4 linked regions of the Saccharomyces cerevisiae S288C genome follow. Changing the gene in region 1 together with any one later gene gives a genetic interaction. Each region holds a gene or a part of one and is shown in the gene's direction. Other genes may lie near its edges. The genes, in order: SGT2, ATP11, GPT2 and SEC18.

Region 1 (3,409 bases):
CAACGAGCAGTACTAGCTCTCAATCACAGGACGCCACTTCGATAATCTATTCCACTACTTTTCACACTGAGGGCGGTTCCACAATTTTTGTCACGAACACCATCACGGCAAGTGCACAGAATTCAGGATCGGCCACAGGTACAGCTGGATCTGACTCTACGAGTGGAAGTAAAACTCATAAAAAGAAAGCCAATGTAGGGGCAATTGTAGGCGGCGTTGTAGGTGGTGTAGTGGGAGCCGTAGCCATTGCTCTTTGTATCTTGTTGATTGTCAGACACATTAATATGAAGCGGGAACAAGACAGGATGGAAAAGGAATACCAAGAGGCGATAAAACCAGTTGAGTACCCTGATAAACTATACGCCTCTTCATTTTCATCTAATCACGGGCCCTCTTCAGGTAGCTTCGAGGAGGAGCACACCAAAGGGCAAACTGATATTAACCCTTTCGACGACTCAAGGAGAATAAGTAACGGAACATTCATAAATGGCGGACCAGGAGGGAAAAACAACGTTTTAACAGTGGTCAATCCAGACGAAGCTGATTGAAGAAACCCAAAAAAAATTATTATATTCTTAAACTATTGCCAAGCAAGTCTTGTTCCTTCCCATTAATTTTTTCTTTTTCCGATTTCATTTTGCCAAATCATCTCCATTTTCACATTATGATGATCCTCTAAAAATTCATACATTTCGAATTTGAGAGCTGGAGAGCTGGAAGTAACGAGGAACATTAAATAGGAACAACAAAATTAGATTAGTTATTTTTTTTTCTACTCATTAATTTTTTTATGATATATTTGAATACCAACCTTAACTTAGTTACATAGATTTAACAAACATTAAACATGTTAATTCTTTGAAATGAATACCACCTAATAAAACTATACATTTTCAAAATAACAAATTGTTATGAAACTAATAGCTAATTATCTTCTAGTGACAATAACCACTTTACTAGAAATTATTAAAAAAATACCGCGTTGAAAGACGATATAAAGTAGGAGATTAATAAATTTATATTCATATTTTCTTCAATCTAATGAAATTGAAGCGCAAGGATTGATTATGTGATAGGATGCGTGAGTAGTAATGCATGAAAAAGGAGGAAGACGTGATTATAATATATGATGTAAAATTTTGATTCCATTTTGCGGATTCCTGTATCCTCGAGGAAAGACCTCTGGCATATTATATAGGGATATTATTCCTTTACAAAAAATGGAATGAAAGAATCAAAACAAAATTGTCATGTTTGCACAATTGCGTATACCATTGCATATAATTATGTCGAAAATCATCAATATGTATGGGAATGATCATTCCATTTTTTTCACACTGGCATAATAATTTGAATATAATAATAATGGATGATGGGCATTATTGGGAAATAAAACTATGAAATTTGCTTTTAGTACGTGTATCGATAAATATCTCTAATTTTCTCAAGATCTGTTCCTCGTGGCCCAATGGTCACGGCGTCTGGCTACGAACCAGAAGATTCCAGGTTCAAGTCCTGGCGGGGAAGATTTTTTTTAACATTGAATAGAAATTACAAAGGTCTTTTATGCTATTTTAAAGGGCTATAGGCGGCATAATATTTGCTTTTAACCTTATTGTCATGACATTCTAATCACAACACTTAGCCCTTCTTTTGTATTTTTCCAAACTTTTTCAAGTCTTAAAATTTTCCCAATCGAAAAAAATGGAAGATCCGAGAAGGTTTTATTGCCCTACGCTTAATCCCAAATTTTGCCACCATATAAAATGAGTACGAGCGATATAATCGGACAACTGAATAGAAGCTTCTGACCAAGTGATATCTTATTAATACAAATCTACTGTACGATGTCAGCATCAAAAGAAGAAATTGCTGCCCTTATTGTAAACTACTTTTCTTCCATTGTGGAAAAGAAAGAAATTTCAGAAGATGGCGCCGATTCTTTAAATGTTGCTATGGACTGTATCTCTGAAGCCTTTGGCTTTGAAAGAGAAGCTGTTTCAGGCATTTTAGGCAAGTCTGAATTCAAGGGTCAACATCTTGCTGATATATTAAATTCTGCGTCAAGAGTTCCAGAATCGAATAAGAAAGACGATGCTGAGAATGTCGAGATTAATATTCCAGAAGATGATGCGGAAACTAAAGCCAAAGCTGAGGACTTGAAAATGCAAGGTAATAAAGCAATGGCCAACAAGGATTACGAACTGGCAATCAATAAATATACTGAAGCCATTAAAGTTTTACCAACGAATGCTATTTATTACGCCAATAGAGCGGCTGCTCATTCATCCCTGAAAGAATATGATCAAGCGGTCAAAGACGCTGAATCTGCAATTTCTATTGACCCATCTTATTTCAGAGGCTACTCTAGATTGGGTTTTGCTAAATATGCGCAAGGTAAACCCGAAGAAGCCCTTGAAGCATACAAAAAGGTTCTTGATATAGAGGGCGATAATGCAACAGAAGCTATGAAAAGGGATTATGAAAGTGCCAAGAAGAAGGTTGAGCAATCTTTGAATCTGGAGAAAACCGTTCCAGAACAGTCAAGGGATGCTGATGTCGATGCAAGTCAGGGTGCTAGTGCGGGTGGATTGCCAGATCTTGGTTCTTTATTAGGAGGTGGTCTTGGAGGTTTAATGAACAACCCACAATTGATGCAGGCTGCGCAAAAAATGATGAGCAATCCAGGTGCAATGCAGAATATTCAAAAAATGATGCAAGATCCAAGTATCAGACAGATGGCTGAAGGCTTTGCTTCAGGCGGAGGAACTCCAAATTTGTCTGACTTGATGAATAACCCAGCACTCAGAAACATGGCAGGCAATCTTTTTGGTGGAGCAGGTGCCCAATCTACAGATGAAACACCAGACAATGAGAACAAGCAATAGTGGACTGAAATAAGCCTTTAATGCAATACATGTTATGTAGATACAAATATAGCTCTATCTAGGATGAGTGTTACCAGGAATTTTATTTTTACTTTGAGATCACTTGCGAAATACTTAAATAGGGACTGTAGTTTACTTTTTCTTTTTTTCAGGTAAATTCGTCGATTTTCGGAGAAGACTAGAAAATATAATGTGATGAGAAACTACATAAAAAAATTTTTACTAGTAAATGTCTATTTGAAATACTTTATCGAAAAGCTTTTTATGTAAATCTGTATAGAACTTCTCGCGTAAGACAGTTGAGTAAGCAGTAACAATGGGAAAAGGTAAAAATAAGATGCACGAACCCAAAAATGGAAGACCACAGAGAGGCGCTAATGGGCACAGTTCCAGGCAAAACCATAGGCGCATGGAAATGAAGTACGATAATTCAGAAAAAATGAAGTTTCCTGTTAAACTGGCTATGTGGGATTTTGATCATTGCGATCCAAAGAGATGCAGTGGTAAAAAACTTGAAAGGT
Region 2 (3,210 bases), on another chromosome or scaffold:
ACGAAAATGGATAAATTGAAAGAAGCTTATAGTTGTTTGAAAAGAGCCATTTCATGTGACGCTCAAAAGAACTGGAAAATTTGGGAGAATTACATGCTTGTTGCTGTTAAGTTGAATGAGTGGGAGGATGTCTTAACTGCATGTAAACAATTAGTCAGTATTAGGAGGGACAAATCTGGCGAAGGTTCCATCGACTTACCAATTATTGAAAAACTAGTAGAACTATTAGTGACTAGTGAATATCCAGAGGAGCCGCAGCAATTATCTTATTTTCAAAAGAGCTGTACTGAGTTTATCTGTAACACTTTACCTCAGGTAATTACAACCAGTGCAAGATGTTGGCGACTGGTCGCAAGAGTAGAACTTTGGAGGAAGAGACCATGGGCCGCCCTAGAATGCCACGAGAAGGCTTATAGGGCCATTTCTCACAATCCTGATTTAGAAGTTGAAGAAAAGGTTTGGAATGATACAGTGGATGCTTGTGAAGATTTGGTGGCTGCCTATGAATCACTTGGTGAAATGGAAGGTAAATATGGGCCAGGCAGTCTGGTTTGCAAAGACTGGAAATACAAATGTAGATCTACTATCAAAGCTCTAATGAGTAAAGGCAAAGGCAGATGGGATGACTCTCCTGGTTGGGATAGGCTAGTGGAAGCAAGAAGCCAAATATGAAGAGCACCTTTCATGTATAATCTGTGTATATTACGTAATGTTTGTATAAATAGATACATATGGACATGAATCAAGCATATCTAATAGAAGTTTTTATATTTTATCTCCTTGGCTGGGTGGTCTCATCTGTGAAAGGAGAGCCTCAATTATGTTGAGCTTGTTTAAAACTTTACACTCAAAATCTTCTTGCCTTTTCTTTATCACCTCGAGTTCGTTGTGAAGATAATCTAGACATATTTCCAATTCCATATTAGAGTCCGACCACGATTGCTCAGCAGCCATTTGTGGAGGCAGTACTGTCTCGCTGAACCTATTTGTACCCTTGTTTATCTTAGGGCTTTTGATGACTTTCCCGACGTCGTTATCCTTAGACAGAATCATGGGGATTGTGTGAAGAGTAGGCGGAATTCCAATCGTTATTGAATCCAGGGGCAGCGGTTGTGAGCCTGAATGCTCATCGTCGGAGCTGTGGTTATTCGGATGTTCAGCGGATGATAATTGTTGAAACGGATCAGGCCCCGGATGACTTTTAATGAAAGAAGATGATGATAAGGATGAAGATGATTCATTTCCGAATTTAGTTCTTGGTCTTGGATGTTCTGGTGCTTCGTCCAAGAGTGCTCCCATCAGCTTCAACTGGGAAGGAGAGAATTGGGCTCGATCTGCGCTGAAGAGGTCCTTCAGTCGACGAAATTTGGTTTTTAACGTCCTTGATTGTCTATATCTTGACCCAGTCTGTCTGTTGTACTCATCGAGCACCCTTTGCCAGCTATCTTGTCTGTAGGCATATGGTTTCAGATGAGGTTTGTGCCGTATCAGTAGTCGTAGAAGCAGCTCCACAGGATCCACCGATTCATCCATTATGGTTGGCTCCGCCTAAACCTTTCAAAGTATCGTTAAACCATGTTGTTATCAATGGTTCAACTCACCCGAATGGAAATAACGCTTATTTTGACGCCGTAATCGAAGGATGTGAAGAACTTATCAAGACTTGAAAATAGAGAACAAAAGAGATTTAAGAATAACTATGTGGAGACTAACCAGAAAAATCGGCACTAGAATCCATATTTCTAATCAGCTGTCGCCCATTTTTAACAAGGCAATTGGAACAGTTCCTGTTTTTCGTTTTTATTCTTCCAGCCCAGAGCAGAAGTATAGAAAGAAACTTTTGGAAGAGGCTCAAAAACAAGGTTTTAACAGCATAGAAGAGTTGAAAAATCATTTGAAAGAGACTATAGAGTCTAAGAAGCGGGAATTTAATAAAATCGACCCCCTGAAAGAACTAGAGGATTACCAACAAAAAACTCAAATGGAAAATAACAACTCCAAGCATTTGATGACGAAATCAAGAAGTCCTCTCGATCCAAGTGCTCCTAAAGTTCCCTTCAAAACATTGGACTCTTTTTTGGATGTTGGAAAACTGAAGGACTTATCGAAACAGGAAGTAGAGTTTCTTTGGAGAGCAAGATGGGCACAAAAAGATAATACATTATGCGCTGTGATTCCTGTCTCCGTTTATGATAAGATGATGGCAAATGCCAGGAATAACCCTATATTCGTGTTGCCACTTCCTAGACAAGTTCAATCTGAGGATGCAAAACCGAACGAAGAACAGGGAATGGAACTACACTACATCCAATGGCAGTTTGTCGGACCCCAAACAACACATTGTATGATGACTTCCCTAGCAGAATACAAACTACACCAGGAATTTGCAAGGCCACATACTACCTTGCAGTTCCATTCTGATTTGGTCAAGGATAAGGGAATTGTTTTTATGAATGGCCATGTTGAACCGGATACAAACGTGAATGTACAGGATGCACAGCTGTTATTGCTAAACGTGCAAAGGTTTTATGGTGCAATGGGTGAAGAAACTCCAGTTGCTAAACAGAGAGTGCAGTTGTTAAGAGATTTCTCTAAGGCCTCTCCGGGATTCACCGTCGAGAAATTGATTTCGCTATCACAGTCCATGGAAAATTAACGAAGAATTACTTCCGTATACGTATATATATATATATATATATATTAATGACACCTGTAAATAAAATACGTACTACATCATCTGCGACAAGCGTACAGTTTCTTTACACAGTTATCAGCATGACTCTTGTATTTTCATAATGAAAAATGAAAATAAAAATTTTAGTAGATGAATATAATACGCAGAAAGAACAGGCTAAAAAAGTACGAAAAGCAACTTCATTATATTTCCGCATTCATCCTTCAATTATGGCCAGCAAGACTTTGAGGGTTCTTTTTCTGGGTCCCAAAGGTACGTATTCCCATCAAGCTGCATTACAACAATTTCAATCAACATCTGATGTTGAGTACCTCCCAGCAGCCTCTATCCCCCAATGTTTTAACCAATTGGAGAACGACACTAGTATAGATTATTCAGTGGTACCGTTGGAAAATTCCACCAATGGACAAGTAGTTTTTTCCTATGATCTCTTGCGTGATAGGATGATCAAAAAAGCCCTATCCTTACCTGCTCCAGCAGATACTAATAGAATTACACCAGATATAGAAGTTATA
Region 3 (4,565 bases), on another chromosome or scaffold:
CCAATAAATAATATCTTTCCTCAGTGACCTATAAACCTTGTTCCTCTAAAGTCTTGAAAATAAATGGACTGGGCGCGTCTTTAGGGAAAGTGATACCGTTCTCCAACAGTTTTTCAAAAGCTTTGGAAAAATCCTTGAAGAACTTGTCCTGGTCATTAGCGTATTCTTTCACAATGCTTAAGTACTTGGGATCCTGAATCAAAGAATAATCAGTGGGCAGCATCATGTAGCCGCTCTTAGAGTCCCACTGTTCGTTGTTCGCGTCGTTCTTTTCCAATTTCCAGTCTTCATTCAGCAAGTTCAAGTAAAACTCATTGGTAAAGACGTTGTTAGCGGCTCCCCATGGCCCTTCGTATCCAGAGTTCTTCAAGTGGGTCTTGCCCAGAGCGTGAGCCCCCATAAGAGCAACTACTTCTCTGTCATTCATATTAAGTCTTTGAAAAAATGTTCTGACATAGTCAGCGTCTTTATCAGCGTCAGGCAGTCTCCCGTTGTCAGGGGTAGTATCCTCTGGCGTGTCGACTCTACCACATCTCCATGGAATCTTGGGACCCTGCATTTCCTGCACGGCAGTGACACCCCCTAGACTGAACAGATCACCCGAGGAGATCCAGGGAAACTCTTTGTGAATGGGCTCCAGGAACTTGAAGCCATTCTGCAAGCCCGCATTGGATGGATCGTTAAACTCCTTTTTGAATCTGTATGTACCACCGTATGACCCGCCTGTATTGTCGTGCTTGTCCCAGGTCCCTGAAGTGTGCCAAGCAAGACGGACTAATACGGGCCCATAGCCTATATAGTTGTCATATTCGTCATCTTCCCTCAGCTTGAGTGCAATCGCATTGTACACCTTTTGGAAGTCCTCGTATGACCTCCCTTTTTCGACAGAGGCGACATGAACGAGCGGTGTAGTGGAAGCCAAAGCAGCTGCCTTCCCCCAGTTGTTCCATCCGTGGTTACTACCACCCCCGGGAGAAGACGATGATCTCTTTTGGGATTGCGAGTAAGCAAAAGTTGCAGCAGCAGCAGCAGCAGCAGCAGCGGAGAACAGGTAGAGAGACCTCTTATGGGCGGTTCTGCCCAGTGAAGGTAAAAGCCTAACAGCAGTAGTCATAATTGTAGATATACGTGTGTGTTTGCGTCTGCATGAATGCGAAATTCATGTTCTTGAGTTAGCGAGCGTGTACAATAGTCTCTGCTTAAGTACTTTTCGCTCCAGGGTCCTTTCCTAAATTGGTAACAGCCGGCTTGGGCCGGCCCCTGGATGCCAAGAGAGTCATATTACTCAGTACTCAGGACCAAATAACTCATCGCTGTCGTTGGTAAAGAAAACTACAAATCTGGGCCTGACCATGGTTTACGAAATTCCTGACAAAGCAGGATATTCTTTGGCTTTGGAATTTCCATTGGCGAGATCTAGCTGCGGGAGAAATCATCCCGACATTATGTAAGCTACATAGGTCGCTGAAGTGTAGTCGCCACACGGCAGCGCTAAATGATAACTAGTAATTGGTGTGGAGCGACCACATTTTCGCATCGATCCAAGCTCGTCTTTTGGCTTTCTTGGCTATTCTTACTAGTTATATTGAATTATTACAGCTCTTGCTGGAACACCAGTAACCCGCCGTTGCTCCGCATTTTCGAAGTAAATGGCTCACTTTGATTGTAAGGTTGAGAGGAGTAATAAAGAGGGGAGAGAAAAGAGGAGAGACCCTGAAGAAGTGGCAGCTTGAGTATAAGATAGTGTCTTTTCGTGCTTCGTCGCTAGAGCAAAATTCTACTTTCACATCTAATAAAGCCGATTAATCGATCAGTTATTGCTCCCTTTCCTTTATGTCTGCTCCCGCTGCCGATCATAACGCTGCCAAACCTATTCCTCATGTACCTCAAGCGTCCCGACGGTACAAAAATTCATACAATGGATTCGTATACAATATACATACATGGCTGTATGATGTGTCTGTATTTCTGTTTAATATTTTGTTCACTATTTTCTTCAGAGAAATTAAGGTACGTGGTGCATATAACGTTCCCGAAGTTGGGGTGCCAACCATCCTTGTGTGTGCCCCTCATGCAAATCAGTTCATCGACCCGGCTTTGGTAATGTCGCAAACCCGTTTGCTGAAGACATCAGCGGGAAAGTCCCGATCCAGAATGCCTTGTTTTGTTACTGCTGAGTCGAGTTTTAAGAAAAGATTTATCTCTTTCTTTGGTCACGCAATGGGCGGTATTCCCGTGCCTAGAATTCAGGACAACTTGAAGCCAGTGGATGAGAATCTTGAGATTTACGCTCCGGACTTGAAGAACCACCCGGAAATCATCAAGGGCCGCTCCAAGAACCCACAGACTACACCAGTGAACTTTACGAAAAGGTTTTCTGCCAAGTCCTTGCTTGGATTGCCCGACTACTTAAGTAATGCTCAAATCAAGGAAATCCCGGATGATGAAACGATAATCTTGTCCTCTCCATTCAGAACATCGAAATCAAAAGTGGTGGAGCTCTTGACTAATGGTACTAATTTTAAATATGCAGAGAAAATCGACAATACGGAAACTTTCCAGAGTGTTTTTGATCACTTGCATACGAAGGGCTGTGTAGGTATTTTCCCCGAGGGTGGTTCTCATGACCGTCCTTCGTTACTACCCATCAAGGCAGGTGTTGCCATTATGGCTCTGGGCGCAGTAGCCGCTGATCCTACCATGAAAGTTGCTGTTGTACCCTGTGGTTTGCATTATTTCCACAGAAATAAATTCAGATCTAGAGCTGTTTTAGAATACGGCGAACCTATAGTGGTGGATGGGAAATATGGCGAAATGTATAAGGACTCCCCACGTGAGACCGTTTCCAAACTACTAAAAAAGATCACCAATTCTTTGTTTTCTGTTACCGAAAATGCTCCAGATTACGATACTTTGATGGTCATTCAGGCTGCCAGAAGACTATATCAACCGGTAAAAGTCAGGCTACCTTTGCCTGCCATTGTAGAAATCAACAGAAGGTTACTTTTCGGTTATTCCAAGTTTAAAGATGATCCAAGAATTATTCACTTAAAAAAACTGGTATATGACTACAACAGGAAATTAGATTCAGTGGGTTTAAAAGACCATCAGGTGATGCAATTAAAAACTACCAAATTAGAAGCATTGAGGTGCTTTGTAACTTTGATCGTTCGATTGATTAAATTTTCTGTCTTTGCTATACTATCGTTACCGGGTTCTATTCTCTTCACTCCAATTTTCATTATTTGTCGCGTATACTCAGAAAAGAAGGCCAAAGAGGGTTTAAAGAAATCATTGGTTAAAATTAAGGGTACCGATTTGTTGGCCACATGGAAACTTATCGTGGCGTTAATATTGGCACCAATTTTATACGTTACTTACTCGATCTTGTTGATTATTTTGGCAAGAAAACAACACTATTGTCGCATCTGGGTTCCTTCCAATAACGCATTCATACAATTTGTCTATTTTTATGCGTTATTGGTTTTCACCACGTATTCCTCTTTAAAGACCGGTGAAATCGGTGTTGACCTTTTCAAATCTTTAAGACCACTTTTTGTTTCTATTGTTTACCCCGGTAAGAAGATCGAAGAAATCCAAACAACAAGAAAGAATTTAAGTCTAGAGTTGACTGCTGTTTGTAACGATTTAGGACCTTTGGTTTTCCCTGATTACGATAAATTAGCGACTGAGATATTCTCTAAGAGAGACGGTTATGATGTCTCTTCTGATGCAGAGTCTTCTATAAGTCGTATGAGTGTACAATCTAGAAGCCGCTCTTCTTCTATACATTCTATTGGCTCGCTAGCTTCTAACGCCCTATCAAGAGTGAATTCAAGAGGCTCGTTGACCGATATTCCAATTTTTTCTGATGCAAAGCAAGGTCAATGGAAAAGTGAAGGTGAAACTAGTGAGGATGAGGATGAATTTGATGAGAAAAATCCTGCCATAGTACAAACCGCACGAAGTTCTGATCTAAATAAGGAAAACAGTCGCAACACAAATATATCTTCGAAGATTGCTTCGCTGGTAAGACAGAAAAGAGAACACGAAAAGAAAGAATGATCAAAAAATAGAAAAATAAAAAAAAAAGCATTTGACAATGTTTGTAAATAATATAATATGAAAGTAACTACTGAACAAAAACATTAAGGATAACATTTCTACGTAGGAAAATAATGTATACCTAAATAACGACACCAATAATAACAAAAATCACGAAAAAAAAAAGCTTACATGTCCACTAATCTTCGCCGATCGGTATTTCGTCTTTTAAAATTCTATTTAACTTAACCTTGATCTCCGTCTGAGAGTCTCCTCTCAAGATATCCGACACAAACCAGACATCACAATCCAGCTGCACCATTTCAAGTGACCCTTTCAAAACACCACACAATATATTGGAATACCAGAGCGATTTCATAGCGTCCATGGGTAACTCCACAAAGTCAGCCAATGGGTTTTCATCCAAAATCAATGAAAAAGTATCCTTGTTATGCGACCAGTTCGTTATGTTGGGTGTGATGTTTAAAAATATTTTGAATGCACACTTACTTAGTACTTCG
Region 4 (4,354 bases), on another chromosome or scaffold:
CTTTCCTTAACAACCACATTTATAATTACACTATTATTGATGACTCACTCGATATTGATCCGGTGTCACAGCTTCCAACGCATGATTACAAAAACAACAGGGAGCTGATATGGAAATTCATGCATAAGAACATATCTAAGGTTGCTATGGCCAATGGGTTTGAAACTGCCCATCCATCAGCAATAAACATGCTTACTGAAATCGCCGGGGATTACCTATCTAATCTGATAAAGACTTTGAAGCTTCATCATGAAACTAACTCCTTAAATAGAGGAACAAATGTGGAAATGCTGCAAACAACACTGTTGGAAAACGGTATCAACAGGCCAGACGATCTATTTTCCTATGTTGAATCTGAATTTGGTAAAAAAACTAAGAAACTTCAGGACATCAAACAGAAACTAGAAAGCTTTTTGAGAGCCTTATTAAGGCCAACTTTGCAGGAGTTGTCCGAGAGAAACTTTGAAGACGAGAGCCAAAGCTTTTTTACAGGTGACTTTGCCAGCGAATTGACTGGTGAAGACTTCTTTGGTTTTAGAGAGCTTGGATTAGAAAAGGAGTTTGGAGTTTTGAGTTCATCTGTTCCATTACAGTTACTGACTACTCAGTTTCAAACTGTTGACGGGGAAACCAAAGTGCAGGCCAAAAAGATCCAACCGGAAGAATCAGACAGCATTGTGTATAAGAAAATTACAAAAGGTATGCTGGATGCTGGTTCATTCTGGAATACTCTACTTCCCCTATTACAAAAAGATTATGAACGTTCCAAGGCCTATATAGCAAAGCAAAGCAAGTCATCTGCAAATGATAAAACCTCAATGACTTCCACAGAAGACAATTCTTTCGCTTTACTAGAAGAGGATCAGTTTGTCTCAAAGAAAACCGCAACGAAGGCAAGATTACCTCCTACTGGTAAGATAAGTACCACATACAAAAAGAAACCGATCGCAAGCGCGTTTATACTTCCAGAAGAAGACTTGGAAAACGACGTAAAAGCGGATCCAACAACAACTGTAAACGCCAAAGTGGGTGCAGAAAATGATGGAGATTCTTCCTTATTTTTGCGAACGCCTCAACCTTTAGATCCTTTGGATATGGATGATGCTTTTGATGATACCAATATGGGCAGCAATAGTTCATTTAGCTTGAGCCTTCCTCGCCTTAATCAATAATGAGCGCGCTAAATAGTTGAATATTTTATCTTTAATTAAATACATTTGCTTATAAAGGTTGTACTATTTACTTGTAGTTGATGTAGGATTCCAATTCAATGCACTTTAATACTCAGAGTACGCTTTATACTTCTGCAGTACCCTCTCTAAAATGTCACCTAGTATTTTTTTCTCTTTACACAAGCGTAGCGTCACTAAAAAAAGGTATTTCCCATGGGTTAATTCGGTATCACACTATACGTTAGGCGTACCAAATTTCGAGATTCATGAAATTGGCTTATTCGTAGCCTTTAAGTACTACCGTTGTTTCTCTCAAAGATAAGAGCAAATAGTACCGTATATTCAGCCTTTATAAATTGAGTATGTTCAAGATACCTGGTTTTGGAAAAGCTGCTGCAAATCATACTCCACCAGATATGACAAACATGGATACCCGTACACGCCATTTAAAGGTGTCAAACTGTCCAAATAACTCCTATGCACTCGCAAACGTAGCTGCTGTCTCACCAAATGATTTCCCTAATAACATTTATATTATTATCGATAATTTATTTGTTTTCACAACTAGACACTCCAACGACATTCCACCGGGAACCATTGGATTTAACGGTAACCAGCGTACCTGGGGTGGTTGGTCCCTAAATCAAGACGTGCAAGCAAAAGCATTTGATTTATTCAAGTATTCCGGTAAGCAATCGTATCTTGGTTCAATAGATATAGATATCTCATTCAGAGCTAGAGGTAAGGCGGTAAGCACGGTATTCGATCAAGATGAGTTAGCCAAACAATTTGTTCGTTGCTACGAATCTCAAATATTTTCTCCCACCCAGTACCTTATCATGGAGTTCCAAGGCCATTTCTTTGACTTAAAAATTAGAAATGTCCAAGCAATCGATTTGGGTGATATTGAACCAACCTCCGCTGTTGCAACTGGGATAGAGACAAAGGGAATTTTGACAAAACAAACACAAATTAATTTTTTCAAAGGAAGAGATGGTTTAGTTAATTTGAAATCATCAAATTCATTAAGACCAAGATCAAATGCTGTGATCAGACCGGATTTCAAGTTTGAAGATTTGGGTGTCGGTGGTTTGGATAAAGAGTTTACTAAAATTTTCAGAAGAGCGTTTGCAAGTCGAATCTTTCCTCCTTCAGTTATAGAAAAACTGGGTATTTCTCATGTTAAAGGTTTGCTATTGTACGGTCCTCCAGGTACTGGTAAGACCTTAATTGCAAGAAAGATTGGTACAATGCTGAATGCCAAAGAGCCCAAAATCGTCAATGGTCCAGAAATTTTGAGTAAGTACGTTGGTTCTTCAGAAGAAAACATTCGTAATTTATTTAAGGATGCAGAAGCAGAATATAGGGCCAAGGGTGAGGAATCTTCCTTACATATTATTATTTTCGATGAGCTGGATTCTGTTTTCAAGCAGAGAGGTTCAAGAGGTGATGGTACCGGTGTAGGGGACAATGTAGTTAATCAATTGTTAGCTAAAATGGATGGTGTTGATCAATTGAATAATATTTTGGTTATTGGTATGACCAATCGTAAAGATTTAATAGACAGTGCTCTTTTGCGTCCAGGTAGATTTGAAGTCCAAGTTGAAATTCATTTACCCGATGAAAAAGGAAGACTCCAAATTTTCGACATTCAGACGAAGAAAATGAGGGAAAATAATATGATGAGCGACGATGTTAACTTAGCTGAGTTAGCTGCGTTAACAAAAAACTTCTCTGGTGCTGAGATTGAGGGTTTAGTGAAGAGTGCAAGTTCTTTTGCAATCAACAAAACCGTCAACATCGGGAAAGGTGCCACAAAACTTAACACTAAAGATATAGCAAAACTTAAAGTAACAAGAGAAGACTTTTTAAATGCACTCAACGATGTTACTCCCGCTTTTGGGATTAGTGAAGAAGATTTGAAAACATGTGTGGAAGGTGGAATGATGCTTTATTCCGAACGAGTTAACTCAATATTGAAGAACGGAGCCCGTTACGTCCGCCAAGTTCGCGAGAGTGATAAATCCAGGTTAGTATCTCTATTAATCCACGGCCCTGCAGGGTCCGGTAAAACAGCTTTAGCCGCTGAAATTGCTTTAAAATCTGGATTCCCATTCATCAGGTTAATTTCTCCCAACGAGTTGTCAGGCATGTCAGAAAGCGCAAAAATTGCCTATATTGATAACACTTTCAGAGATGCGTATAAATCTCCACTAAACATTCTTGTTATTGATTCGTTAGAGACTCTAGTTGATTGGGTACCAATTGGTCCAAGATTCTCTAATAACATTTTACAAATGCTAAAGGTTGCATTGAAGCGTAAACCCCCACAAGACCGTCGTTTATTGATCATGACTACTACATCAGCTTATTCGGTACTTCAACAAATGGATATCTTGAGTTGCTTCGACAATGAGATAGCAGTTCCAAATATGACCAATTTAGATGAATTGAACAACGTCATGATAGAATCAAACTTTCTTGACGATGCTGGTAGAGTTAAAGTTATTAATGAATTATCAAGGAGCTGTCCTAACTTCAATGTCGGTATTAAAAAGACCTTGACCAACATTGAAACCGCAAGGCACGATGAAGATCCCGTGAACGAGCTTGTTGAGTTGATGACCCAATCCGCATAATTATTTCAAATTTTTCATGTCCTTGTATTTTTATTCTTTATCCCTTCCAATCAGAAAGGATCTAGTGAACAAGTTCTTTCCTCTATGGTATATATTTTAGTGATAAATTTTATAAAATTATCAAAACCAAGGCATCCTTTCCTTTTATTCTGTCATTGGAATCTGCCTGTCATAATTATCACCCACCGGGTAAAGATGATAATTTTTCAGTCGCTTTGCCCGAGAAGCTTTGCCAGGTGAAAAATTTTTCTTGGTGAACTAAATCGAAAGTAGATATACTTACAACTATAGAGAGAGTTCCAAAATAAACCATACAAACGCCCAGGAAACATCAAGATGGCCCCCCCACCATTCCGTCCTGAAAATGCCATTAAGAGAGCCGATGAACTTATTTCTGTTGGCGAAAAACAAGCTGCTTTACAATCTTTGCATGATTTCATAACTGCCAGAAGAATCCGTTGGGCTACACCTTCAACTGTTGAGCCAGTCGTGTTTAAATTCTTGGAAATTGGTGTTGAACTAAAGAAAGGTAAGCTGCTAAAA

Evidence for each region.
Region 2: mutations in SGT2 (region 1) and ATP11 together harm fitness more than expected from each alone (negative genetic interaction), as found in Saccharomyces cerevisiae (2 studies listed by BioGRID).
Region 3: mutations in SGT2 (region 1) and GPT2 together harm fitness more than expected from each alone (negative genetic interaction), as found in Saccharomyces cerevisiae (2 studies listed by BioGRID).
Region 4: mutations in SGT2 (region 1) and SEC18 together harm fitness more than expected from each alone (negative genetic interaction), as found in Saccharomyces cerevisiae (2 studies listed by BioGRID).

The regions. Positions count from the first base shown.
Region 1 is NC_001147.6:338,417-341,825, reverse strand, and holds SGT2 (Sgt2p), read left to right. Parts: upstream 1-1,847; coding exon 1,848-2,888; downstream 2,889-3,409. Other genes in the region: SLG1 (Slg1p), read left to right, coding at 1-548; ribosome biogenesis protein TSR3, read left to right, coding at 3,205-3,409. UniProt on the Saccharomyces cerevisiae protein: Co-chaperone that binds to the molecular chaperone Hsp70 (SSA1 and SSA2). Regulates Hsp70 ATPase activity. Required for recovery from heat shock.
Region 2 is NC_001146.8:42,770-45,979, reverse strand, and holds ATP11 (Atp11p), read left to right. Parts: upstream 1-1,699; coding exon 1,700-2,656; downstream 2,657-3,210. Other genes in the region: tetratricopeptide repeat-containing protein EMW1, read left to right, coding at 1-672; DAL82 (Dal82p), read right to left, coding at 766-1,533; prephenate dehydratase PHA2, read left to right, coding at 2,905-3,210.
Region 3 is NC_001143.9:566,085-570,649, forward strand, and holds GPT2 (bifunctional glycerol-3-phosphate/glycerone-phosphate O-acyltransferase GPT2), read left to right. Parts: upstream 1-1,833; coding exon 1,834-4,065; downstream 4,066-4,565. Other genes in the region: CCP1 (cytochrome-c peroxidase), read right to left, coding at 29-1,114; TRAPP complex core subunit BET3, read right to left, coding at 4,244-4,565. UniProt on the Saccharomyces cerevisiae protein: Dual substrate-specific glycerol-3-phosphate/dihydroxyacetone phosphate sn-1 acyltransferase, catalyzing the first and committed reaction in the de novo synthesis of glycerophospholipids and triacylglycerols (TAGs).
Region 4 is NC_001134.8:398,071-402,424, reverse strand, and holds SEC18 (AAA family ATPase SEC18), read left to right. Parts: upstream 1-1,534; coding exon 1,535-3,811; downstream 3,812-4,354. Other genes in the region: SAGA histone acetyltransferase complex subunit SPT7, read left to right, coding at 1-1,172; RPG1 (translation initiation factor eIF3 core subunit a), read left to right, coding at 4,148-4,354. UniProt on the Saccharomyces cerevisiae protein: Required for vesicle-mediated transport. Catalyzes the fusion of transport vesicles within the Golgi cisternae. Is also required for transport from the endoplasmic reticulum to the Golgi stack.